Linked DNA regions of Sus scrofa. The protein of the gene in region 7 interacts with the protein of the main gene of each other region in a pairwise test. Links are inferred from orthologs where the notes say so. Each region holds a gene or a part of one and is shown on either strand. Other genes may lie near its edges.

Region 1 (3,500 bases), on a different chromosome or scaffold from region 7:
GAGCCATGATGGGAACTTTACACATACTCTACTCTCCCCTTTGCCATCAACATTTCCCTCTTGCTTGCCTTTCTCAGTCCCAAACAGAGTGACCAACCTGTCTTGGGTTTGCCTTGGACTTTTATGGTCTTTTTACTGGAAATCATTAAAAAGTTATTAAAAGTTTTGTTTTCCCTGATAAAATATAAGTTCTTTAGGTATAAGAAAACCTCTTTTCCCCCTAAAATCTCTATCACTAGAACCTAGCAAAATACTTTCCACAGAATAGTATTGTTAAATAATTTAATCAATACCTTAAACCCTCAAATGAAAAGGTAATAAGGAATTTGTAATGGACAAGTAAGCCATACTTAAGGCATCATCTGAGGCTTCACATGGCAAGGACTCATGCATCTTTTGGTACAACAAGGGACTACCTAGAATAATACCCAACCTCCAGTTGGTACAAACTAAATATCTGGTAAGGTGAATACTATTAAATAATGATAGTGGGAAAAGAAAGAAAAGTCATGCACTAAAAAGCCTCAGAATACCAAGTATAGAGGAAGATAAACAAATGTGCTGACCAAAAAATGTAACACAAATTTCATTTCCTATTCCTAGAATATTTTTCATATAAACAGCTCAGTTAACAGACAAATCTCACTTTCTTAGTTTAGCAGTTATGGTTTCTCAGCTAAAATATTACTAGAACTATCATGTAACAGATGTGCAGACATAATGAGATTCCTTTAAATTAGCATCTAAGATATTCATGACTATTATGACATGATTGAAGTTATCCTTTTTATTTTTCCACTGAAATGAGCAACAGAATTGGATAAGACTTAATTCTCTACTTATATACATAGAGACTTATTAACCAGAAATACCGTATTTTGATGTGAGAAACACTGAAACGTGGCAATGCTCATCACACACTTAAAATAATGCACATACATAGAATTGCTGCTCTAAAAAAAGGAAATCTTTCTCTTTAAGAAGAGCATAATTCTGTGGAAGTTACTAATGTTTTCGAATTTTGCTTGCTATGTGGTTATATGATCTAAACAGTTTTTATTAGTACTTTTATTTTTTTGAAGGCGAGGCCCCACACAATTTGTCACTGATCACAGAACACAATTTGTCACTGATTGCCAAACACATGAAAAGTTAAGGAAAGAAAGACTCCTTGGGATCAAGTTGCTACTTTGCCAATGGTTCCCAGTAGTAGCAGCACTGGATCTAGCTATAGATCTGGGAAAAGCCAGATGCTGAGACATTTACAAAGATGAAATTGTTGACAGGTTATAGGAGGAGAATCAGTGAAGGGCTCTCTCTTCTAAGCAGAACTTGGAATAGTGACATGGGACCCTTCTATAATGGCTAATCCGACATAGCCCTTCCTCCTGAGGTAAAACTTCTTCTCTGTCACCATTACTAGAGTCTTACTTTTCAATTGCATGCCTCTACTGGGCTGGACATCAATGCTAGTGAAACATACAGTCAACCCTGAGATAAGTCTACGTACACTCAGGGGCCAGGCTCAAGCAATCAAACTCAACTGAACCAGGGTATCTGAATTTAGATTTCCAGATGGAACACATTAGTCTATTACTGACCAGGAACTCCAGCCTCTGGCCTTTTTGCTTTCCTATTTTCAGGATGTGTTTTTACTCTAGTACTAAGGCATTAGGCAATTACTAGCTTTGGAATTGATAATATAATGCCTTTAATTTTATTCTTTCTTTTGTCCGAATGGAATTATACCCCATCACGTTTATGATCATCTGTTCTGGATCATCTCAATTAAAATAATTAATGAGGAGTTCCCATTGTGGTACAAGAGAAATGAATTTGACTAGTATTCTTGAGGATGTGGGTTTGATCCCTGGTCTCGCTCAGTGGTCTGGGGATCTGGCGTTGCCATGAGCTATGGTGTAGGACACAGATACAGCTCAGATGCCATGTTGCTGTGGCTGTGGCACAACTCTGATTTGACCCCTAGCTTGGGAGCTTCTATATGCCACAAGTGTGGCCCTAAAAAGCCAAAAAAAAAGAAAGAAAAAGAAAATGATTAATGACTTACTCTTGTTAGATTGCATATTCTAAAAATCCGGTTTATCACATCACAGTCCATTGAACAAGACATACATTCCACTTGGATAGGGCCATATCTTAGCATCCCTTCTTCTGGCCAGTACTGAGGGCAGCCCTAGATGATGAATGTTTGAAAGAAAAGGAAAACGAGCATTATTTTTTTCTAATTATGGTAAGACTAAAGCAGATTTTAGCATTTTATTACTACTTCTTTAAGTCGTGTTAAAGTACATAAAAGCAACCTATAACCATTAACCTGGGACAAGTCGACTTCATTTAACATCACAATGGAGGTACAGCCATAATCATACACTAATCTCCAGAAGTCTTTCACAGTGTTTGGCAGAGGGTATTGTGTGACGATGAAAGCAGCTGGTTGCCTGTAGCTCTGTGAAAAAACAAGGTAGATGGAGAAACATAAGAACTTAAAAGAAAAATTAGTTTTACAAGCAGATTCAATATAGGTAATATAGGACAAGTAAGACACAACAGCTTCATATGGAGATGGAGCCAGACTGTTGCTTAAGCCATGAAATAACAGATTTGGACCAATGTAAGGTCCTGCAACTAGTTATTAGTCAACCTTAGAGTATAATTTTGATGCCTGAGTAGTAATTCAAGCCAAGAATTTGCTTTATGTTGTTGATAAAAGTAATATAGGACAGATAGCCCAAAAAAAGGTAAGAAAGAACTTCTTGAGGTTAAGATCCTCCATGAGCTACCTGTTGGGTTGTTTCAATTTTCCAAAAATAATCAGTAGGAGAGGCTAAAGGCATAAAATTCCCAGGTGTGCATGTGTATCTCTATCTATCTATCCATCCATCCATCCATCACCTTATCAGCTATTATATGACTGGCTCTCCTCCACTCCAAATAAGAAAAACCATATGTGCCTCAAACTTATATGCTTTTATATTATATTGACATTATAAACACATGCTGTACATCTTGCAAGCAATCCATTTCCCATAGTTTTCTGGGCATTTCTAATGTATATGAGTTATCAGAATGATAGTTTTAATCATTTAAGATTTTTCAAGTGCCAAAGAGTAAAATCAATGCATTCTATGGCTCCACCTAAGAGGAAATGGCTCCTTGTTTTTACTAAATGCCCCTTGATTGGGACAGAACACATTATCCCTTTCCAGAAGAAGAGAATATGCCCATCTGGCTGGGCTATCTGTTATTCTACAGACTAATGATCTATACCAAAAAAGAAATATATATTTCCATGTAGTAAACTAATTATTTGTAAAACTATAAATAGACAGTTGCCTGAGATGGATTTCTTTAGCGCTGATAAAAAGTTGTCAGTGATCTCCTAACTCATTTGTATGATATTACTCTTGAAGTTCCTTCAGGTGTCTTAACAGCAGTATAAAAATTGATCTTTGAACTTCATAGGCCCTATCACCATTTGG
Region 2 (4,094 bases), on a different chromosome or scaffold from region 7:
TGAAGCAGGTCTCTTCATTAGATAAAGAGACTAAAGCTGAGATGGACATAAATGGGACTCAAATCCCTTGTGCTACCCAATGCAACCCACAATGAGGCCAAAGCAGGTGAGCTTTACCCTACACATATCCACACCCTCACTAATGATAGGAACAGCTAAAAGCAGCTACCTTTCCATAACGGACTTTGTCTCAAAGAACCCAATTCTAGTATGGCAAACAGCGATTTCAACACCGGCTCTGCCTCCCTGAACCTGCACTCCAGAGCTGGGGCATCGATTGAACCAAGATTTCAGCTCAGCCTGTTGCAAAATAAATAAATGAAGTGCAAATATTGACAGTTCTCATGCAACTCCTAAATACACGAAAAAAGGCTCCCTGGAACAGCAGCAAACGGGCAAAAGGGAAACAATGGGAGGAGGAGGAGACAAGAGAAGAGGCGGCCCAGGAACAGCCAGGAAAGTGGGTAATGTGAATGACAGGTCTTAACTGCGACTCCACACGCCACCGCCTGGACGCAAGTACTAAGTACAGCCACCGCCGACACTGGGATGGGCGACCAGGGGCAGGGCGCTGCCGGGGCGACCACTCACCGGGCACGGACGGACACGCACCTGTGATACTGAGCCTGCAGGAACTGAAACTCCTCTTTAATCCGGTCCAGGGACTCCGGGATAGTGAACTTGAAGGGCTGGCCTGCAGCCTGGTGCGGCGTCTAGAGACGACCAGGGGGACCGAGGGACCGGGGATGCGGGCGGAGGGATAAAGAAGTAAGTCAGAGGACGAAAGAGTGGGTGGGACATAAACAAAAAATGAAGTTAGAAGTGGAAGAAACCGGAGCTACGGACTCGAGTTTGCCCTTCACTATGGGCAGGGGGAAGGTGGACCTCCCCAGATCCGATGCTTCTAAAATGGCTTGGAGCCTCTTCTAGCCTCCAGGACGAATCGCGTTAAGTGCGAAAGGGTCACCTGGTTGAAGGGATAGGGGCTCCCTGGCGGGCGGCCGAGAACTGGGCCAGACTGTCGCTGTCGCCGCCGGCCCCTCCTTCACGGGGGCGATAATGACCCCAGGGACCAGAGAAGAGAAACAACTCTTCCCGTTCCCAGAGCCGCCGGGGCCACCTCCAGCATTGCTGGAAAGGGGGCCGCATTGACATGTAAATAGGCAAGACGAGAAACAAAGGTGGGGGCGCCCTACTCGCCTCTGGGAAGGGGGAGGATGTGTCTGCTGGAAAGAAACCCCAGTCTCTCCGGGCGCCCCCACCCGCCCAGTCTAGACCTCAAGTAGGAGGGGGCACAGAGCAAACGGGGAAATTTAGAGTTTCAGCCCACTCCCCAACCCAGGAGAGGAGGGCCCTCGACCTCCCAAGCCAGGGGTTCGGCCAGAATGCAGCACCCACCCATCTCCTTACCACACAGCAAGAGCGCCTACCACCCCTCACCCCCTGTCCCCCACTCAGCCAGCCAGCCGCGCCTCACCGGGTGCCGGCTCTGTGGGAACATCGCTCTGGCGGCGGCCGCGGCTCCGTTCCCGGGCAACTCAATTCTCCGCTCAATTTCCAACTTTAATCCCGCCGAGGAAAATTAAGCTGAGAAGCCGGGCAGTAGCGGGAAGTGCGGGGGGCGCGCTGGCCACGCACGCAGGCGCGCTCCGCTGGGCGCAGAGGCCACTCGGCGCCCAGCAGCTCCTGTTCCCGCCGGTGCGGGCTCCCACCTTCAGGGCCACATCACAGGGCACCCCGGGCCCCGCTGCACCTAGAACCTGCGGGGCGCCGCCGGCGCCCGGGGCCGCACTCCAAATCGCGAGCCTGGGCCGCCGGGACGAGGAGGTGGGGGCGCGGTGACTCGCTGCGCTCCCCTCAGCGATCCGCGTGTGCCGCACCCGTCCCGGGCAAACAAATCCAGGCGGGTTGCTCTCCACCGTTCTTCTCCCGGTCCGCCTCCTAGCCGGGTTTTCCCCGCGGCGCCAGCAGCCGGGGAGGTGCAGGTGGCAAGCGCCCCCGCTAACCCCACAAAACAAATGTGACGACGTTCACAGCCGACCCCTGCAGGTCCGGGAGGCGCCCAAGACCGGGCGCTCGCAGGGTCCCTGGAGGCGGCGAGGGGCGAGGTCCGGGCCCCGGGGGAGGCTCCGTGTCCGGCGCTCCGCAGGCTTAACCCGAGCGGAGGAGCGCGGGATGACGACGAGGTGGGCAAAGTGTGGAGGGCGCGCCGGGAGGCGTCTCGGCACGCCCCGTGCGGGCCGCTCTTGCTGTTTTCCGCGGTTGTACAAACCCTCTTGGCCCGACGGGACTACTCGGCGGAGAGTAGTCCCGCAGCCTTCCGCTGCTCCTCGACCCCTGGGCGCATCCGAGCAACACGGCCCGTGCACACTCGCCGCACACGGCCCGCCCGGCCACTCCGGACCCCTTCTTCCGATCCTCTCCGTCAGCCCTCTTTCTTTCCTTCTCTTCGTCTACCTCTCCGCAAAGGGCGCTCCAGCCCGCTCCAAAGTTCTCTCACGACCCGGGGAACGACATCCACTCGATGGTAGGGAAAAGCGCAAGAGTGCGCTCCGACGCTTGGCCTCCTTCCCCAGCAGGCAAACTCCGTGGGCGAGTCCGGAGTAATCGCCAAGGGCCAGCGAAGGTCCGGGCTGGTGGCGAGGGAGCCGCCCGGCCGTGCGAGGGTGGGGGTAGCGCAGTCGGCTGCCTCAGGGACGCGGGGCAGAGGGTGCCCGCCGCCGCTGCTGCTGCTCCTGCAGCCGCCGCCGCCACCGCCGCCGCCGCCGCCGCCGCCCGCGCCTCTCGCGCCGGTTACATTAACACGCGGTTTCACACTCCGGAGCTAACCAGCGCCGGCCCCGCCCAGCCCTGCGCGGGCGGGGGCGAGAGCGAGGAGCTGGCGGGGTACGTGGGCCCGGCGAGTGGAGAGGGGGGAGCGGGAAGGCCCGTGTCAGCCAATCGCATGCGCCAGACCCAACGTGGGGTGGTGACGCGACACCTCCCCAGAGCCTATGGCAGCGCGGCACCGGACGGGCTGTCTCCCCTTCTCCCTCCTTTCTCTCCCGCCCCGCTTGCTTCCCTCTCCGCCGTCTCCCCCGTCTCTCCTCCCATCCACCCCCACCTCCCCTCCGCCAGCCGCGTCCTCCCGGGCTCGGCGAGGAACTGTTCCTGAAGGAGCCGCGGGACGCCGAAACCAGCCAATGGAAAGCGGCGAGACGCGAAGATTGGCACCGGGGATGGGAAGGTCGGAGAGAAGGAGAGCGGCGGGGCCGGGCTGTCAGTCAAAGTAACGTGGGGCAAGCAAGGGAACGCGCGGGAGCGCGCAAGCGGGAGGGACAGGCCAACGTGCAGCGGTCGAAGCTGGGGGCTCGAATTTGCAAAAATGCTGCCCACTTGTCACTTTTCCCTTTAATGAAAATCTTTAGATCTCAGTGAAACTCAGAGACTAACCCCGTAGGTTCTTATGAGGGAGAAGGGGTGCTTTTTGGTAGTTCGAGCCAAAGGAATCTTTCGGTGCTTGTCCCCTGTTTGATGCTACTATTGAAAGTGAGGTCACATTCAAAAATTTCTCTGAGGATTGTTTTTCCTCGAGCTGCCTTTTGGCGGATGCAGGAGAAGTGGACTGTGCACTTGGTGGAAAATGCGTACATGAGCAACTCATTGGCTGGCGTACATACAGCAGCCGCCTAAGACTAGGCTTTTAATGCCCACGCCCCCTTTGCACCCAAGGTGGTAGGAGTTGGTTTTTATTAGAAAATTTCAAACCACCTTGCAAAAAGATCGGGCTGCCTTGATTTGGCGGGAAGGAACCCAGGGTAAGGCACGCGCGTCGTAGTCTCAGATGCGATATTTTGCCCGCGGCGCGAAATTTCGGTTCTTCTGTTAAAAGTCCAGATTTCGCTGTGTTGGGAGATAGAGAGCTGCTCAGACTTCTAGGGGCTTCTCAGCAACATGACCACGAGTCTGTTTCCAATTAGTAGAAACAAAGAGAGAGAGTGTGTGGGATAAACAGCATCTAGACCTGAAAAACCTGTCCTGCCCACCCCACCTCCATAGTTCGGATGGTACCCCCACCCCCGCCCCTCTGGCCGGCTGAGCTGTGTAAGGCATTG
Region 3 (3,500 bases), on a different chromosome or scaffold from region 7:
CAGGCCGCTGGAGCCCAGAGCCTGCCTCCACTTGCCAGCAGGGTGGCCTCGGGTAGATGCCACCAGCTGTCCGCCCATGTCCCTTTGGCACTTTCTCTGCTGCAGAGATTCTCACTGGAAAACCTGAGAGGGCCTATGGGCTTTTTGTTCTGGAAGAAACCCAGAAGCTGGACTTTCTGGAAAGTGCGTGTTCTAGAAGCAGCCCTCCAGCAGGGGGGTGGCGGCTGCACACCCAGGCCCCTTGCCCCCGGGGGTGGACGGCTGTGAGGCTCCTGGGGTCCCCAGTGCTCTGAGCCGCAGGCACCCAGGCAGCTGTCCTGGTCTTCTCTCTCCGCCGTATGTCACGTTCTCAGACCCCACGGAGCTGTTTTCTGGGGTCGCCTCCCAAATCAGGCTCTTGGACTTGGTTTTTCATTTGAAGATTGACTTTGGGCAGAACCAAGACAGCGCCACTGACCATCTGTAAAGGAGAGAATAGGCAAACTGAACACTGAAAGTGGTCAGAGTCCAGAAGGTGGCTGAGGGGGACAGCGGGGTGCCGAGCGCCTCGTGGGTGGCGGGGCCCTGGGCCTTGAGCGGTGGAGCCTGGGAAGGACAGGTGATGTGTTGCCGGGCCAATCTTGCTTTCGTGTGCCAACATTTGCCACCAGACAGTCTCAGCTGTGCTTGTGTTTGCCTCCCAAGGCCCCCTCGTCTTTGGTGAGCCCATCGCTGCCAGCCTGGGGTCGGACGGCACCCATTACTGGAGCAAGAACTGGGCCAAGGCGGCAGCCTTCGTGACCTCCCCTCCCCTGAGCCCGGACCCCACCACGCCCGACTACTTGACCTCCCTGCTGGCCTGGTGAGAGCCTGGGGTGGGGGTGGGGGCTGGGCGGGGGTGGGGTGAGAGCCGGGTCGGGGGGGCCCTTTGGGATGAGGGTTGAAGGGCTCATTCTGACACACTTGTGGTGGTGCCCTTGGGCTGGGTGCCCCGGGAGAAATGGTTACAGCAGACCCTTTGGGGGCCTGAGGGTCTCTTTCATTTTTTTTTTTTTTAATTATTTATTTATTCATTGGGTTGTTTTAGTGCCATACCTGTGGCACATGGAGGTTCCCAGGCTAGGGGTCGAATCAAAGCTGCAGTTGCCGGCTTACACTACAGCCACAGCCACACCAGATTCTTAACCCACTGAGTGAGGCCAGTGATTGAACTCAAGTCTCATGGATACCAGTCGGGTTCATTACCACTGAGCCACAGCGGGAACTCCTGAGGGTCTGTGTCATTCAGTAACTTCCATCCACATTTACGGGTTACCTCCTGGGTGTTCAGTGATATTTAAGCCCCTTCTGTGCCCCTAGCGCTGTGGTTTATTGGGAAATGCCCAGAATTAGGGGTGTGAGGGCAGCCTCCTGCCTCAACCACTAACTGTGTGTCACCCCGGCCCTGTCACGTAATCGGTAAGGTCTGTGCCTCGGTTGGCTCATCTGCAGAGTGGGGAGAACATCGTACCTACCTCAGAACTGGGTGGGCGTCAGTGTGGGGAGAAGGCCTGGACTTCCAGGCTCACAGTGGCACTGCGTTTAGCTTCGCTTCCTGCGCACAGTAGGAGCACAGCTGCTTTCATCCTTCTCTATCTGCCAGCCTGAGGGAGGAACACTCCAGGCGCAGCAGGCTGAGTGGTGACGTGTGCAGTCTGCTCTGGGGGTGGAAGTGCATGCTCGGGAGGCTTCACGGAGGAGGTGACATCTAAAACCTCAGTCGGACCAGGGGCCTCCAGCATCCTCTCCCCTCAAAGGGAAACACAGGTCCCCACCCTGATGGTCGAGGCGGACCCTGATCTGGCCTCACTTCCCTCTCCTCCTGCCTCAGCTCCCTCGGTCCAGCCCACTGGTCTGCCACCTGCACCGCAGGCAGGATGGTGCCCCAGGACCTTTGCACTCACTGTGCCCCTGCCTAGTGCTCTTGCCTTAGTCATCCTGTGGTTTCCTCTTCACCATCTTTAGACCTTTGCTGGAAGATTTCTTCTCAGTGAGAGATTTTTGATCTTAAATTGGCAGCCCCACCCCACCCTAACCCCCCTCCCCCGACCGACCATCCGTTCCTGGTTCCCCGGCACTAGAACGCCAGCCGATAAACAGAGGACTTGGGCTCTGCTCACAGCTGCCTCCCCACTGCCTCAGCCACGCCATTGACACAGGACGTGTGCCGCACACTTCTGGTGAATAAAGAGTGAATGTCGCATCTAGATATATTTTTGGACATTTCGATGGTTGCTGATGCACCCCGGGCTCCACATGGAGGCCAGCCTCTGCCCTCCCTGAAAATCCCAAAATAACACTCCGATCAGGCCATCGATTCAGATGCCGGTTCAGGGCTCATCATCCAGCCCCAGAAAATGTCCTCTCCACAGCCCGAGGGACACAACTGCAAAGCTCGTGCACTTGGGTCACATTGCCACGAGCAACGAAGAGCACTTGGTCCTGCGGGCACAGCCCGAGACACCCGCCAGCCTTATGCCCACAGCCTCACTTACCAAAGGAAGACCAGTGTCTGCACTTCCTCTTTCCCCGTGTGACCTGGCACATCAGTCCAGGGGTGTCACCTTCCTTCTGGCACAAACATCCCCGACTTTGTGAGACACCCAGGCCCCTGCTGGAGGCTGCATGTCTTACTCACTTATTTATATATTCACTCATCCATTCGTCTAGGCATCCACGGGCTGTACTCAGGGTTTTCCTTCTTCCTGCTTTTTTAAACTTTGTGATAAAACTCACATAACATTCACCATGTACTCAATTTTTTAAAATTATTTTATTGATGTGTAGTTGGTGTAGAGTGTTGTGGGAATTTCTGCTGCATAGGAAAGTGACTCAGACACACACACACTTTTTTTCTGCTGCACAGGAAAGTGCTTCAGATACACACACACACACACACACACACACACACACACACACTTTTTCATACTCTTCTCCATCATGGTCCAGCAACGGACGTGGAAGGCAGTTCCCTGTGCGGCTCGGGAGAACCTCGTTGTGTGCTTATTTGATACATAGTAGTTTGTATCCGCTAATCCCAGCCTCCTAATTTATCCTCCCCCGTTTCCCTTTGGTAACCATAAATTTATTTTCTATGTCTGAGAATCTATTTCATTCTTTCTTTCTTTCTTTTTTTTTTTTTTTTTGGTCTTTTTGCCATTTCTCGGGCTGCTACCCTGGCACATGGAGGTTCCCAGGCAAGGGATCCAATTGGAGCTGTAACCACCGGCCTACCCCAGAGCCACAGCAACGCGGGATCCAAGCCGCGTCTGTGACCTACATCACAGCTCACGGCAATGCCGGATCCTTAACCCACTGAGTGATGCATGCATCGAACCCGCAACCTCGTGGTTCCTAGTCGGATTCGTTAACCACTGAGCCACGACGGGAACTCCATGAGAATCTATTTCTTAAATAAGTTCATTTGTATCATTGACTTAGATTCCACATATAAGCGGTACCATATATTTGTCTTTGTCTGG
Region 4 (4,149 bases), on a different chromosome or scaffold from region 7:
GCCTGCCGATGCCTTGTCGGTCATAGAGGACGTTGAACTTGTTCACGAACTGGTTCATGGTATTGCACGTTTTGGTGATGGTGCCTAGGTAGGCCATGAGTCCCACGTCATTGCATTGCTGCAAGGAAACAAAGAACCAGTTTCCCAGGGGCTCTGGCTCCAATGTCCTGCATGCAGAAATGGTGGCATGAGCCCCACCCTCCTGATCCTGGGCTTTATACTCACATCATAAAAGTCTGTCTTGAACTTATCAGTGCTGAGCACTGGGAGGCAGTGACACAGAGCATAAGCCTCCCGCAGGATCTCATGGTTAAAGGGGACCTCTCCTAAAGGCACAGCAAAGGGCTGCATTAATGTGATACTGTTGCTTCCCCAGGAAGGAGAGAAAAAGTGGTTCAAGTGTCAGGGGGACACCTGTCCTACCTGCTTCAGAGGCCTTGACATACTCCAAGATGAGCTTGACGCGGCTGTGCAGCATCTTGATGGCGCTGTGCTGCGCAATCAGGTGTTCCGCCACTACACAGGGTCAGGCCAAGGCTGAGAAGGCATGGGGCCAACACGTCCCACCCCCCGCTGCGAAGGAAACCCCTCCAGCCTGCATTACCAGTGGAGTTCTCTCCGCTGCCTGTTGCTGTCATTCGGGCCACATGATCTACACCAATGCGTTCAGCCTCCTCTGTGGCCAGGGTATAGGTCAGCTCAGCAAAAAGCATCGTGGCCTACAGGGCACAGAGAGAGAGTCAAAAGCAGGAAACACCGGGAGCAGGGTCTGAGAGTTGAAGGGTATGGCATTACCTCTCCATTGATGATATCTATAACAGACTCAAAGACGCTGACCGGAAGCTGTAAAGAGGAGATGGGCGAAGAGCTCTTAGTAACAGCACACGTACCTGAAGGGCCCCAAACCAGGCTTGGCCCTTTCGCATTCCGTTTTTCTATGTCCCCAAGTTACAAGTAGGAATTATCCCATTTTAGTACATGGGGGAAATGCAGTTTAGAGGTTAAATGACACCCAAAGTCTCAGCTGGTAAAGAGAAGGGAGAGTCAATTCAACAGAGGCGATACAGTAAAAAACAGGATGAGAATTAAAATCTGGGTAGGCATAGCAATGGACAAGCAGGACAAAGTAGCCACGGGCTCAGTATTACTCACATCTGTGTGCTTAGTCATAGGGTTCAACTTAAGAAACAAAGGGCTCTCAATTATCTCGCACACCTGGAAGAGGGGGCAGATGCACCTGAGTGCCAGGGCCCATTTTTCTCCCGCTCATCCTCTGTCCTCCGCCCCAACGTGCAAACGGAAGTGTGTATACCTGCTTATGGACGTGGATATCAGAGGGGTCAGGCGGTCCCCCTGTGGTATACCAACCCAGAAACTCCAGCTCCTTGAACACCTGTTTAACTGAGGAGGAAAGGGCCAGAGCACAGAGTATTTTTTTTTTTTTTTTAAATATCGCTTCTTTAATTTGAAGCTCCTGGTGGATTTTAACCAGCTTCTCCCCATCCCATCCCGGCTCAGTTTAGAGTAAGTCATCTCTTCTATCTTCTCCTTACTTTGTGGGAAGTAACCAAATATGTTCTTTTTTTTTTTTTTTTTTGGTCTTTTTTCCATTTCTAGGGCCGCTCCCGCAGCACATGGAGGTTCCCAGGCTAGGGGTCCAATTGGAGCTGTGTCCGTCGGCCTACACCACAGCCACAGCAATGCAGGATCCGAGCTGCACCTGCGACCTACACCACTGTTCATGGCAACACTGGATCCTTAACCCATTGAACAAGGCCAGGGATCGAACCCGCAACCTCATGGTTCCTAGTCGGATTCGTTAACCACTGAGCCACGACGGGAACTCCCAAATATGTTCTTTTTTAAAGATCTCTACAGCTACCTTCTCGTCACTTGGCCTCCATTCTGCTCATCTCCTGTTTATTTTTTTCCCCCCAACCCTCTCCACCTTCCCTATTCTGATTTTCTTTCTTTTTTTAACTCCCACTCCTCTCCCCCACCTCTATTCCCCTCTCACACTGCTCCTCCTTGGTGTAATAATATTCCTTGTCAATGATAATCTTCTCTTCCACGGTGTGGGACAGCAGCTCAAAGGAGTTCATCACCTCGATATTTCGGCCCTCCTGCTTCCCGATCAGAGCCCCAATCACTGGAGGAGAGGACACAAGAGGTGAGGGTAAAGAATCCTGAAACTTAGTTAAATCAGTATAGCCTGAGGGTCTGAGGTCAAGTGAACCCAGTACTAGGGAAACGGGTGGTTTGCGGCGGAAGAATTGGCTTCAGCAAAGGAAAGGGAAGGACCACCGTTTGGGGGAGATGACCAGGAAAAGAAGGCCAGAGAATTACGCCGAACACTCACCCTGCATAGGCCGCCCCTCCTGGGAGCGCATGCGAATCCAATGGTCTGAGATGTTGAGAATGACGAGGGGGTGAAGGGCGACTGAAACACTGCCAGTCACTCCGGAGGCCATCACGCTGGGGACGACTAAGCAGTTGGAAGAGAGGGTGAGAGTCCGGGTCCCACGTTCCCCCCGGGAGATGGGAGGGGAAGCCAGCAGAGCCGGGCCATACATCCCTCCCGCAAGTTATCCCAGGGAACGCGCCGCTGACCCGCCCTCCCGACTTCCCCGGGAGTCCAGGAAGGCCTTGACGCGCCCCAAGGGCGTCTCCAGAAGCCGCTCCCTCCCGGTCGGTTACCTGCTGCATCCACCTCCATCCCGCTGCTCCCTCCGGTCCCGTTCGCCGCAGCCGCCGCCGCCATTTCCCCCGCGCCCGCCAGTGTCGGCCCCGCCCCCTCCCTGCCGGCTTCCGTAGGCAGCAGCGCATGCTCAGTGCGGCCGTGGCGCGCGCCTGCCCAGACCCGCGCAGGCAGCCCTGGGTCGGGGAGAGCCGGCAGGTCTTAGTAGCCCTCTCGCCTGCCTCTGACCTTGAACAACTTACTTAACCGCACCCTGATCGTCCTAAAGTATACTGGGATTAGACTGCCTACTTTGTAAGGCTGCTGCAGCATGAATGAAACTTCATGTTGTTGCCCTCAGAGTAAAAGCCACACTCCTAACCACCTGCAAGACCCTGTAAGATCAGACCCCTGCCCGCCAGCCAGCCCTGGCCTCTGCTTTTCTGCCCTTTGATCGCCGTGCTTCAGCCACATTGGCTCTCGTGTCTGTTCCTTGCACACGTCTCACTCATCCCCACCGAAGGGCGTTCTGTCGCCTTTATCACTGTAACACGTGATCAAAACTACCTGACATATGGGCACCTAAATGATTTCTTTTTCGGGCCGCATTCACAGCATGCAGGAGTACTCGCACCAGGGACGGAACTCACGCCACAGCTGTAATCAGAGCCACAAAAGTTCAAATCCCGCTGAGCCACAGGGGAACTCCATAAATGATTTTTGAGTGAATGAATGGTTTGCCAGTGGAGCCTGGTCCTGAGTGCCTTGGTCTACACATCCTTTCTTTCCTCCTTCCACCTCATTACCTACAGCACTGAGAACATCCCTGGCATTTTCTAACCCCTCCCAACTTCCCTCTACCCTCCGTCTCCGTTAGTCTTTCAAAACTCACTTCTGGGAGTTCCCGTTGTGGTCAGCAGGTTAAGAACCCAACTAGTATCAATGAGGATGTGGGTTCGATACCTGGACTTGCTCAGTGGGTTAAGGATACAACGTTGCCACAAGCTGCAACAGAGGTCACGGATTGGGCTCAGATCTGACATTGGCTGTGGCATAGGCCAGCAGCTGCAGCTCGGATTCGACCCCTTGCTTGGGAACTTCCATATGCCAAGGGTGCGGCCCTAAAAAGAAAAAACAAAAAACCACCTCCGGCAAACCTAGCCCACTCCAGCCCTCTCCCCACCCCTACACCCGAGCAAGTTGTGTACACTGCCTTTACCCTGTCTTGTCGCCCCTACAATTTGGCTGGTTCTTTAGGTGTGTCTGTAACACACCCAAGTGTTAGCTCCTAAAAAGCAGGTAGAGACCTGTACCTTTACCTGCGGAGCCTACTCTGCTGCCCAGAGATGTTTTCTGGTGATAATAGTGACTGGTGCGAATTAAGCTATCTCTCCATTTAAGAGCCTGCATAAAGGGAAATTAAACGACCAGCAACTCTCAAAGTAAAGGCCTGAGAAATCCTGCAGGGAGGG
Region 5 (4,104 bases), on a different chromosome or scaffold from region 7:
GCACCATGGTGTGAACCGGAGAGCCATACCGGTGCCCGACCGCCCGGGGACAGTCCCCTTTACAGTAGCGAGGGTTGTATTTGTGTGGGGCCACAATCCAGTTGTCCCACTTCAGCTGACTGAAGCTCAGTCTAAAGTCGTGGAGTTCACACTCGTTTTGGGGAAAAAGAAACTGTTTGAAGTATTCACTCAGATTGAATGAAGCTGGAACCAGAGGCTTCTTCAATTCAGAGCTTACAGTGTCCTGAGCTCTCCGGTGACGAGAGGATGGTACACCCTCAGACAGCCCTCTTTTCTGGTCAGGACCCTGGGAAGGCCTCCTTTTCCAGGGGAGGGAATACCACCTGTGATAGGCCTGTGTGCTTGTGTCGTTCAGATATAAAAGCAGTGAGGGGGCTGCCAGAAGAGTCATGTTACATGGACTTTCCTGTGCTGAAAGATGCTGGAGCTGGTCTTTCACACACGTAAAGTCGATGGACATGTGAATCTCTCTCTTGTTGGAGACCACTAGGGGCTGAAGGATGGCCGTCACATCAATCTCAATCCATTTATGTTTCTTTTGAAATGTGAATGGTGAGTTCAAGGTAAATGAGTATGGAGCTTTAGGCAGAGTCTTGTTAGAAAGCTCTGGTTCTTTTACCACCAGGCTGCACTCACATTTAACAGGGGAGGGAAAAGAAATGGAGTTGTTCCACGTGTATAACAAGACTGACTTGAGTAAATGTTCAACAGCAGTAACACGATCCAGGTTAAACCGCAGGTCCCCTGATGGAAGGGTTCCTGAGAAGAAAAAAGAGAATCCACCGGTAATGCTGGAGACAAATCAAACAAAATCAAAAGTCAAACCAAGGAATTAGTTCCTCAGACTGTGCTTTCGTGAACCCTTTCTTTTCCCACTTCCTCAGGCCTCAAAAGTGGGGGTGGGATGGAGGTTAAGAAAACGCAGGAAATTAGTACTGTAATTAAGTCCTAGCACTTACAGCTGGATACTTTATCACCAGAAATTCACAACAGCTTGGGTGGTGGTGAATTAAAACAGGAAATTGTTACGCTCTGAAGTTTCAGAATCTTAATAATTTGCTCCAAACATAGAGAAGGCTGAAACAAACAAAAACAAAACAAAACAAAAAACCCAGCATTTTTCTCCTGGAGAGTCTTTAAAAAAAACTATAATAAAGACGCCAGGCTTGTGGAGATCCCGTCATGGCTCAGTGGTTAACGAATCCAACTGGGAACCAAGAGGTAGCGGGTTCGATCCCTGGCCTTGCTCAGTGGGTTAAGGATCCAGTGCTGCCACGAGCTGTGGTGTAGGTCGCAGACGCAGCTCGGATCCGGTGTTGCTGTGGCTCTGGCGTAGGCTTTTGGCTACAGCTCCGATTCGACCCCTAGCCTGGGAACCTCCATATGCTGCGGAGTGGCCCTAGAAAAAGCAAAGAGACAAAACAAACACCAGACTTGTTAAGAAAACACTCTTAAGTCCTTACAACTGAATCAAAGAAGACTTAATTGTCTAAGTTGATTTAGAACACTTGAGATTGACAACAAATGGAGATTCTAAACCTACTATAACAATACAGGACTTTAAGGAAGGGGGATTTTAAATAGCTACATACGAACGGCTGGGTTACAAGGGTTTTCAGTTTCGGGTTAGTGAATATAGTTTTTTTTTCCTTTTAATAGCGCTGCTCCCTTCTCACACTCACGTAAGATCACTGATGAACACTTTGTTCTTCTAAGGATCGACTGTTCCACATGGGGACTTAAGCTTTCTCCTCACAGAAAGCAACAAACATGAGGAAAATATCCAATTTAATAAAGCAGACCAACAGCTGAGATTTTAGGCACATTTCCATGCCAGCATTTGGTAGAATAGGAAAAATAAGCAAATGGAAATCAAAATACCTCATTTCCAGTCTTGACTTGTGATCCTGGACAACACGCTCACCTCTGTCAGCACTTTCCCCAGCCTTTAGAGCCACTAAGTCTTTTTTTTTCTTTTATCAAGGCCACAGCGGCATATTGAAGTTCCCAAGCTAGGGGTAGAACTGGAGCTGCGTCTGTGACCTACAGTTCCGCAGCTCACAGTAATGCCGGATCCTTAACCCACTGAGTGGGGCCAGGGTTCGAACCCATATCCTCAGATACTAGATGGGTTCCTTACTGCCAAGCCACAACAGGAACTCCAAGTCTCTTCTAGCTCTAAAATTGCATCATATTAGCCCACCTTAACTCACGGGAGCATTGGGCAAAAACAACAAGATCAAGTACCGCATTTGCTTGTATTTGGATATTGAGTATCACAAAGTACAACACAAGTCAAGGAGCAAGGCCCAGCTTCTTTCAGCAATTGAAATGCAGACCCTTTGTCTCCCTCCACCCATTAAGCCATATACTCCTACACACCTGTCACCTGGTCCCCAGGAGCCTGCTTATGCTGGGCACAGGGTGTGAAGAGCCGGACAGTGTTGTAGAGGTGACTTCTGTTGGCTTTGGGGATCCCCTCCTTGGTAGCATATGTTTTATACAGCCTCTTCATGTAGCGCAAAGCTCTGGAGTCTGGCTGCAGCCTGGGCAACCCCCCATGCCCATCATACAGAACATTGAAGAGGGGGGAAGGGAGGCCAGATCTGTGTCTCTCATCTGGAGGCCGCAGCAAGGACCAAGGCTCAGCCTCAGATTCCAACACAGCACTAGTTGCAAAGTGAGCTTCTCTTCTAGAAGCCTGAGAACCACAGCTAACAGGAAAACAGAACAAGGCAAAGCAGCAAAAACAAAGGAAGAATTTTCTGGGAAGCGCCATAGTTTGGAAGAACTAGCAGGGAACACATTTCCCCATACCAGTCTTCTTAAAAACCAGGAAGAGCAAAGGTTGGTTTCTTAAATAAATTTTAGGTGTGTGGGTGGGCTAGGTTCATTTCTGTAATCAGACCTCAAGGATGCCTAGCTGAAGATAATTTTTATCAGCTGTGTGTCGGCTATAACACCCTATTTATTCAATTTGTCCTAATTAGATACAGATTTACTTGGTTATTCAGCTTCGGTCTCCCTTTTCCCCTGAGATTTACTTAAACATCTCAAGTTGCTATACTAATCGACTAGCTGTGCAGCTGAAAGGCTAAGAGGAATTAAGGAATGACCTTAAAAACACCAATTTTTTTGTGAGAGATTAGGATTCTTAAAACGTTTCTTAGGTGCTTGCTGAAATTCCCATGACATGCGGAAAAGCTAATTTATTATTCATGATGATACGCAGATCTGTTGGTATGCAATTTATGGTATTAGGTTTACTCCTTTCATTCTCACCACCTCTCCGCTTCCAGGTGCTTAGAATAATTATTTACTGCAAGTTACTTCGGAGGGTGAAAGTCACAACTGGCACTGAAATTCCAGAGAGCAGAGAACTGTTAAGTTCCCTAGTTCTGAAAAGGAGCTTAGGAAGGATGTATAATTGGAAGACTGCAACATGCTTTAAAAAGTAGGACGTCACCTTTGATCCTGACATTTTAAAATGTAGTATCTTGATGTCTTTACTTTCCACATTTATCTATACATACTTTTAGTTGAAAGGTTTAGATATTTTCAGGTGCTGGAAAATCAAAGTTTTATTTTTCATCGATCGTCCAGAAGGTGGGAGAATTTTCTAGGGTATTTGTGTTTTCATCTGTTTCAAGTATGTTCTTGCCTCTGGTCTGAGATTAGGTTAGAGATAATGTTTTAGAGAAAGAAGACAAGGCTGCACCTTAAATAGCTGAGTACACTCAAGGTACAAGATAAAGAAGCCGTCTATTCAGTACCTAGGCTGATAAAACCGAGGTATATCTGTAAATTTTAGGTTTATCGCCTGTTCAGCCTCCCTGGCCCTTGGTTAGGAAGGGTTATAAAACACAACCAAACTGCTGAAAACGAGCTTGGTCTTAAATGACATATGACCAGCAATTCCGTGTACGGAACATTCACAGATACGCTGCATCAAATGAAAAAGTCAGTCAGCTGTACAGGGCGGCAGTAGCCGCCTTAAGTAGAAAGCATTTTCCAAACAAAAACAAAAACAAAAAACGGCATCACCTGCAACATTCCTGCCTCCCTTCCTTGGAAATGGAATGA
Region 6 (3,500 bases), on a different chromosome or scaffold from region 7:
AATACATTTATATTTTAATACGTGGTTCCCCCTTTATCCATGGGGGATATGTTCCAAGACTCCCAGTGGATGTCTAAAACCTCGAATAGTCAGTCCTGACCTTATATGTGTATAGTTTTTCCTTATATATTAATCAGTGGGATGCATGCACAGTATAGATACACTGGAAAAAGAGATGATTCATATCCTGGGGGGATGGTAAAAGATTTCATCATGCTATTCAGAACAGTGTGCAATTTAAGATTTTCAGACTTCAGTTGATCACAGGTACTAAAACCGTAGCAAGTAAAAAAGCAGTAAGGGGGGAACCTACTGTATTCTACTTGAAAAAAAATAATTGATATTCTAAATTTTAAAATATTTAAGCTAGTTTATAACAAAGTTCTGACTGAATTACAGGAATATTTTTCTCTTAAGTAACAGAAATAATTATTACATCATCCAAACAAGGGCCACACCCACAGCATATGGAAGTTCCCAGGCTAGGAGTGGGATCCGAGCTGTGTCTGTGACCTAACCACAGCTCAATCCCCGACCCACTGAGCAGAGGCCAGGGAACGAACCCGCATCCTCATGGATTCTAGTCAGATTCATTTCCTCTGTGCCACAAAGGGAACTCCCAACAACTAGAAATTTTATAAAATACAACTCTTATTCTTCAGTATTCAAGAAACTATGATATATACATAAGAAAGATTAGGTATGGCTAAACATGTATATTTTTATCTAAAAGCTTGTAAATCATTACTTATTAACCACATTAAGTAATTCTTTGAGTCCTATGATTCACTAAGTATAACACTTGTGAAATCAGTTGTTTTATTAATAATAATTTGAGACTTGATTACCTGGTTCTCTGCTCGTAGATTTGCAAATTCACTTTTTTCTAGGATGACCATGTCTTTTCTGATGGAGTCCAAATGAGCCATTAGTTGTTGTACTGTTATTTCCTAGAATGCAAAATTAAAATTACCTACTGATCTAGGTAAGGCTATGCCCTTACATGGAATTGTTCATGCAACTTTAAAAGAATTTTTTATCTTGCTACAAAGCATAATGAATGTTTCTTGGCTAAAAAAAAAACCCATAAAAATATATGAAACCTATATTTCTGAAATATCAAAATGAAAAGTAAATGCAGCAGGAGATTCAAGGAAGAAAATGTTATCTCCCACTGAGGAAAAACAAATATCCAGGTCTTTTCAATGAAAGAGTCCCAATAAAATGCAGTTTACACTTGTCTCTAATAGTTCTTCAACAAATAATTTTATTTATTTATTTTAAAACTATCTACATGAGAAAGCTTTTAACTGTTCATTGCTTTGAAGGATCTTCTACCATCAGAAATTAATAGGATATTGAATGAGACTTGGAAGTCAGGCAGTATAAGACAAAATAGGTTGAAGTATGGCTTAAATAAGTACCACTTGTCAGTATAAAAATTAGTTTTGTTTAAATTTCTGAATATCCTTCCTATATTTGGCACCTCAAAGAGTCTATGAAAGAAAAAGTAGCCCCATCTGATAGATTTATAAATTTTGGCTTCTTTAGGGAGGGACATTTTGGTAGAAATGATTTAAAACAGCCTCACAGGAGTTCCCGTCATGGCTCATCGGAAACGAATCTGACTAGCATCCATGAGGATGCAGGTTTGATTTCCTGGCTTTGCTCAGTAGGTTAAGGACCTGGTGTTGCCATGAGCCGTGGTTTAGGTCTCAGAAGCAGCTCGGATCTGGCATTGCTGTGGCTGTGGCATAGGCTGGCAGCTATAGCTCCAATCAACCCCTAGCCTGGGAACTTACATGTGCTGCAGATGTGGCCCTAAAAAAAAAAAAAAAAAAAAAAAAAAAACGAGCAGCCTTACAATGAAAATAAAACCACTAAATTCAAAATCATGTAGCTTATTGACTCATCTTTTATCCCTCATTATCAAAAGAAAAAGCAGATGAACGTATAACCTTGAAAAAGGGTTTACAAACAAACAAAAAAAACCCACAAACAAGAACAGTATCACTAGTGGAATAAAAAACCCCAAAGTGGAGTTCCCCAATGTAGCCCAGCGGAAACGAATCCGACTAGTATCCATGAGAATGTGGGTTCGATCTCTGGCCTCAATCTGTAGGTGGGAGATACAGTGTTGCTGTGGCAGTGGTATAGGCCAGCAACTATAGCTCCAACTTGACCCCTAGCCTGGGAACTTCTATAAGCTGCAGGCTGGGCCCTAAAAAGCAAACAAACAAAATCCTTAAAGTTTAGTAGTAGTATTCCTACATCCAATCCTACATTTTAAATGTAAGATTAAATGGTCTTGGCAGCATTAAAAATTTGTTTTAATTCATTGCTATTATACTTAAAAATCTGATTTCAGAGTAAATAACTATTAAAAGTAGTTCAAGGAGTTCTCTTGTGGCACAGAGGGTTAAGGATCCTGTACTGTCACTGTAGCAGCTTAGGTTCCTGGTGTGACATGGGATTGGGGCAAAAAAAAGTAACTCCACTAGCTCTTTCAGGGTATCACAGAGGTTTGGGGAATTAAATGAGTGGCCTTTTCTTTAGTAGATGTAGTAGTCTGTTATGATTCTGAATAAATTTATCTAAAATAATGCACAAATTTGAGTTAAATCTAACGGCTCAATGCTATTAATTCTAAATATATAACTAATTGGAGGTTATAGTAAAAATCTTTATAAAGCTTTTGCTCTTTCACGACCTTTAAAGTAATAAAATTTTATGCAAGAAACAATGTAACATAATTTTATGTAAGAAAGAAACCCATTTTTCTCTGCTATGAAATATTTATTTGGGGAAGAAACCCTGAATTTGAAAAATTAAAATTAAAAATATAACCATAGAAAACATATTCTTAAACACACTGAATTCATGACTAACAGATTATGAATTATTATTCCACAGTTAGGCTTATTTTATTCTGGCCTTTATATAAAATTGCTTTTTGTCCATAGCATAATGATAACTCTTGCAAATTACTCAACAACTCCGGTCCTCTCTTTCACGGCAAAATAGAATAATTAGTTGGTATTAAATAAGAAAATACATGATAAGAGCTCAGTACTGTGTCTTTCACTGCTTAAGTTTTAGTGAATGGTATTATCTGATGTTTAAAGATTTGAGTTACTGGTCAAATTAGAGCATCTTAGGTGATTTAGGAAGTCTCTCCAAGTCATGTAAATCCTTTCCAGCTTTCCAGTTTATGAAAATTAACCAAACACACATGATTGTAGTAAGGTAGTCAGCCCTTCTACTATGGTGGGCTTTCTATGGGGAAAAAGTTGTCTCACTAACAACCTATCACTATCAGCTGTCAGTCAAATAATGTAATTATACAATGAAAGATGTGACAAAACTGCATTCTCTGTGCTACCATAGTTTTGTGATAACTCTTCACACAATTCACCTCCTCAATCTCTCTGGATACTGACTTCAATAAAGGTTGTTTCTGTTTTTGGTCCCTTTCGAGAGAGTAAGAAGACACAGGTGTG
Region 7 (3,164 bases):
GTTTGGGAATCAGTCTGACCCTTGCACTGCACCTCTGGAACCTGGGACCAAGCAGAGCCAAGGGGGAGGGAGCAGCCGGGAGGATGGGGAGCCTGGCACCCCCTGCGGTGCAGCCTCGCCTCCACACAAGCCGCCCACAGCCCGGTTTTCCGAGGCACAGCAGAGCTGGGCTTCTTGGCTCCTGGACTGTCAAGTGTCTGTTCACAAACTCTGGCCTCGCAGCACGAGCTGGCAGCACGGACCAAAGCCTCATCTTTCCAGCCTGGGCCCCGGGCTCCATCTACCCTTCTTGTCTGGATGCCCAACCAGACAGAAGAGCCAGGAAAGCTTCTCTGGACACGCCTCATGGCCGTCTCTCAGCCAAAACCGGTTGCGGCGAAGAGACAGCGGAACTAGAAAAAGAACTGGAGAGAAATCCCCGCACCCGAATCACGTCAGCGCTCTCCGCGGCGAGGCCCGGGAAGCCCCAGGCGGTTTGAGAATGTGCTCTCACCACACAGTAACTTTTCCAGGTGGTTATTCATGGCAGAGAACTTGACAGAAGGCCACAGCCCTTCCCTAAAAGAGGAGCCCTGGGAGCTGAGCCCCGGAAGGGCTTGCAGGCCACAGGGAAGTGAGAGTGCCCCAGTCTGGCTGTCCTCAGAGGGGCTCAGTCTGTGTGCGCGAGAGGCTCGGTGCCAGCCAGAGGTGGGGGCTCGGGCTTCCCAGCAAGAACAGAAACTCGGCAGCCAAAGCCACAAAGGGGGAAGAGGCCAGCAGCACCCCTGTCAGCGGCTGTGGCTCCAGCCTCACCCCGGGGGAGCGGAGGGGACGTCTGCCGGGGCCAGACCCCTCGCCACGGAGCTGCCAGCTCCGGCCTGGGGCGGCCTGTGAGCAGCGGCCCAGCAGCGGGGACGGGAACTGAGAGAGGCCAGCGGGCGGCCCAGGAGGGAAGTGTGCCGAGCAGACCGCCGGCCTCGGCCGGAAGGGCGGGCAGCTCCTGGTGCTGGACAACCGCCCCCGCTTCCTCCTGGGGCGCAGGCGGCCTCCGGGGCTCAGCGGCGGGCCGGCGCCTCAGTTGGCCTGGCTGCACTGCAGGAGCTGATGGGGGCCGAACAGCCTCCTGACGCCCAGCGCCAGGCCGTTCTCTCTGTTCTCCTTGCTGTCCAGCCCGATGGGCAGCCCTGTCTTCTTGAAGTAGCAGAGGCGGCACACGGAGTGGTACTTGTCCGCTCCTCCGATCACCTCGACCTGGACACGGGACACCAGGTGCCTGGACTGAGGGGGGCGCGGCGGCCCCCGCCCCGCCCGCCCGCGCCCCCGGGAGAAGGCAGGGCAGCTACCTCTTTCTCCACGCCCAGCCTCTTGGTGTAGGCGGCCTCCCGGAAGCACTCCATGCACACGGCCGTCAGCTTCACCACGCTCTCGGCCAGGGGCACCAGGTTCAAGATGCTCCCGAAAGCCTGCGGTCCCACCAGAGACGGGCGCTCTCAGCTCGCCCTTTCCCGGAAAGGCTGCCTCCCAGCACGGAAGCCAGGGACCGAGGCCCTGCCCTGGCCTTCCCCAGAGCCCGGCGCCTGCAGCCGGCGGACCCGGTCCGCGGCCCCAGGAGCCCGTCTCTGCACGGCCCCGGCCCCCCGCCTCCCGGGTCCCAGGCCCGGACGCCTTACCTTCCTCTGGAAGGTCCCGTCCAAGGCGGCCACAATCACGGTCTTGCCTTCGTTGGCCATGGTCTCGCTGAACTCCACGATGTCAGGGAACTGGGGGCGGGAGAGGGGGTGAGGACAGCTCCCGCCTGGGCAGCAGCTTCCGGGAGCCACAGAGAAGGTGCTGCCGGACCCGACAGCTCCGGGCACCCAGTCGGCGGGGAGCGCGAGACCTGGGCAGCCCCAGCCCCTTGCCCGGCGCACAGCTGCATGTCCCCAGCAGACCCAGGCCCCCCTCCAGGTCAAGAACCCGGACCTGTCACCAGGGTGACGCAGCCCGGCTAGAAAGGCGGTCTGCCACTGCAGTGTCAACAGCTTGGACCAGAGGCTGCCTTGGGCTTGAACCATGGTCACCCGTTAGCTGTGACCTGGGCAATGACTTCAGATTCCCGAGCCTGGAAAAGACAGGGAGGGCTTTGGGGGGGGTTAAGGATTAAAGACCCTCAAATAATTTATTCTCTTTGGCTGAGAGGTAGGCTGTGTGCCTGCCACTTAAAACCCAACAAAAAACAATGTGCCATGCGATGCCTTGAGAAGGGGTGGCAGTTCCACGGTCCCGGCACACCCTTCTAAATGCAGGGTCTGCAGCAGGCCGCTTAGTTGGTGACTCAAATTTCATTTCAAGTGGCCCAGGGTGAGGCTGCTTAAAACCCTTTGGTGGATTTTCACTGGTCATCATCTGTCGAGACGGACCTGTGGGTTGGGTGAAGTGGGGATTATTCTTGCCTAGAGGGTCTTTCTCCAAGCCACCCAGGCCTCACTCAGCCGGATGTTCGAGAAGTTACCAAGACAGGACCAGGAGAGGCGTTAGAAACCCCTCTATGCAGCGGGATCCACTGAAGCCAGAGCTGACCGCCCCCTGGCAGGGCTGGAGGGGCCTGAGCTCTGGAACGGCCGCCCCCACCCAGAGGCTCCAGCTGACCCTGCCCCAGGCGGTTCTTTTTCTCTGAAGGACTCGGGTCACAGAAATGCAGCCCCCACCTACAAGGAGCTGTCAGTAAGTGCCCCCCGACCAGCTGTCACAAAACTGTTTCCAGACATTGCCAGATACCCACTGCGGCGGGGGTGGGAGAGGAACGAATCCCCTGCACTCCCCCTCCCTGCTGAGGCCTCGTCAAGAGGCAGGTCCTTCCACACCAGGGTCTGGGGACCTCGGAGGGTCCTTGGCTTCACCTGTGGTCAGAGCACTCAGCTCTTCCACCCGGACTTTGTCCCCTGTTCACACGCCCCCCTCCCCAACACCGACCCTGGGCCCCCAGCAGGGGTTCCTGGGTGATCGAAGGTAAGGACAGAGCTGCCTGGGTTTTCTGCAAAATCTCAAGATGCCCACGGGTAACCATGTTGCTGGCGTTGGATTTTATTGCCATTCATTTTTAGGTTACATTTTGGGTTGAGTTGTGTCCCTCTCACACCTCAAATCCATGTTGAAACCCTAATCCCCAGCACCCGAGTGCGACCTTATTTGGAGAGGGTCTTTGC

What was found.
Region 1: the proteins of TK1 (region 7) and PTPRK interact in a two-hybrid assay, tested with the Homo sapiens proteins (2 studies listed by BioGRID and IntAct). The link is inferred for Sus scrofa from reciprocal best matches to the Homo sapiens genes TK1 and PTPRK.
Region 2: the proteins of TK1 (region 7) and transducin-like enhancer protein 1 interact in a two-hybrid assay, tested with the Homo sapiens proteins (2 studies listed by BioGRID and IntAct). The link is inferred for Sus scrofa from reciprocal best matches to the Homo sapiens genes TK1 and TLE1.
Region 3: the proteins of TK1 (region 7) and CRMP1 interact in a two-hybrid assay, tested with the Homo sapiens proteins (2 studies listed by BioGRID and IntAct). The link is inferred for Sus scrofa from reciprocal best matches to the Homo sapiens genes TK1 and CRMP1.
Region 4: the proteins of TK1 (region 7) and COPS6 interact in a two-hybrid assay, tested with the Homo sapiens proteins (2 studies listed by BioGRID and IntAct). The link is inferred for Sus scrofa from reciprocal best matches to the Homo sapiens genes TK1 and COPS6.
Region 5: the proteins of TK1 (region 7) and GDF9 interact in a two-hybrid assay, tested with the Homo sapiens proteins (2 studies listed by BioGRID and IntAct). The link is inferred for Sus scrofa from reciprocal best matches to the Homo sapiens genes TK1 and GDF9.
Region 6: the proteins of TK1 (region 7) and CCDC90B interact in a two-hybrid assay, tested with the Homo sapiens proteins (2 studies listed by BioGRID and IntAct). The link is inferred for Sus scrofa from reciprocal best matches to the Homo sapiens genes TK1 and CCDC90B.

What each region holds. Positions count from the first base shown.
Region 1 is NC_010443.5:35,249,372-35,252,871, reverse strand, and holds part of PTPRK (receptor-type tyrosine-protein phosphatase kappa), read right to left. Parts: intron 2,468-3,500; coding exon 2,336-2,467; intron 2,195-2,335; coding exon 2,069-2,194; intron 1-2,068. UniProt on the Homo sapiens protein: Regulation of processes involving cell contact and adhesion such as growth control, tumor invasion, and metastasis. Negative regulator of EGFR signaling pathway. Forms complexes with beta-catenin and gamma-catenin/plakoglobin.
Region 2 is NC_010443.5:234,367,817-234,371,910, forward strand, and holds the start of transducin-like enhancer protein 1, read right to left. Parts: upstream 2,801-4,094; 5' UTR 1,502-2,800; coding exon 1,478-1,501; intron 714-1,477; coding exon 613-713; intron 545-612; exon of another isoform or gene 178-544; coding exon of another isoform or gene 170-177; intron 1-169. UniProt on the Homo sapiens protein: Transcriptional corepressor that binds to a number of transcription factors. Inhibits NF-kappa-B-regulated gene expression. Inhibits the transcriptional activation mediated by FOXA2, and by CTNNB1 and TCF family members in Wnt signaling.
Region 3 is NC_010450.4:4,789,675-4,793,174, forward strand, and holds part of CRMP1 (dihydropyrimidinase-related protein 1), read left to right. Parts: intron 1-684; coding exon 685-841; intron 842-3,500.
Region 4 is NC_010445.4:8,001,353-8,005,501, reverse strand, and holds the start of COPS6 (COP9 signalosome complex subunit 6), read right to left. Parts: upstream 2,801-4,149; 5' UTR 2,762-2,800; coding exon 2,698-2,761; intron 2,486-2,697; coding exon 2,360-2,485; intron 2,150-2,359; coding exon 2,018-2,149; intron 1,402-2,017; coding exon 1,313-1,401; intron 1,216-1,312; coding exon 1,153-1,215; intron 844-1,152; coding exon 796-843; intron 720-795; coding exon 605-719; intron 517-604; coding exon 424-516; intron 327-423; coding exon 226-326; intron 119-225; coding exon 1-118. UniProt on the Homo sapiens protein: Component of the COP9 signalosome complex (CSN), a complex involved in various cellular and developmental processes.
Region 5 is NC_010444.4:135,181,652-135,185,755, forward strand, and holds the start of GDF9 (growth/differentiation factor 9 precursor), read right to left. Parts: upstream 2,801-4,104; coding exon 2,404-2,800; intron 781-2,403; coding exon 1-780. UniProt on the Homo sapiens protein: Required for ovarian folliculogenesis. Promotes primordial follicle development. Stimulates granulosa cell proliferation. Promotes cell transition from G0/G1 to S and G2/M phases, through an increase of CCND1 and CCNE1 expression, and RB1 phosphorylation.
Region 6 is NC_010451.4:17,423,610-17,427,109, forward strand, and holds part of CCDC90B (coiled-coil domain-containing protein 90B, mitochondrial), read right to left. Parts: intron 951-3,500; coding exon 849-950; intron 1-848.
Region 7 is NC_010454.4:3,792,161-3,795,324, reverse strand, and holds the end of TK1 (thymidine kinase, cytosolic), read right to left. Parts: intron 1,740-3,164; coding exon 1,650-1,739; intron 1,443-1,649; coding exon 1,323-1,442; intron 1,231-1,322; coding exon 1,054-1,230; 3' UTR 501-1,053; downstream 1-500. UniProt on the Homo sapiens protein: Cell-cycle-regulated enzyme of importance in nucleotide metabolism. Catalyzes the first enzymatic step in the salvage pathway converting thymidine into thymidine monophosphate.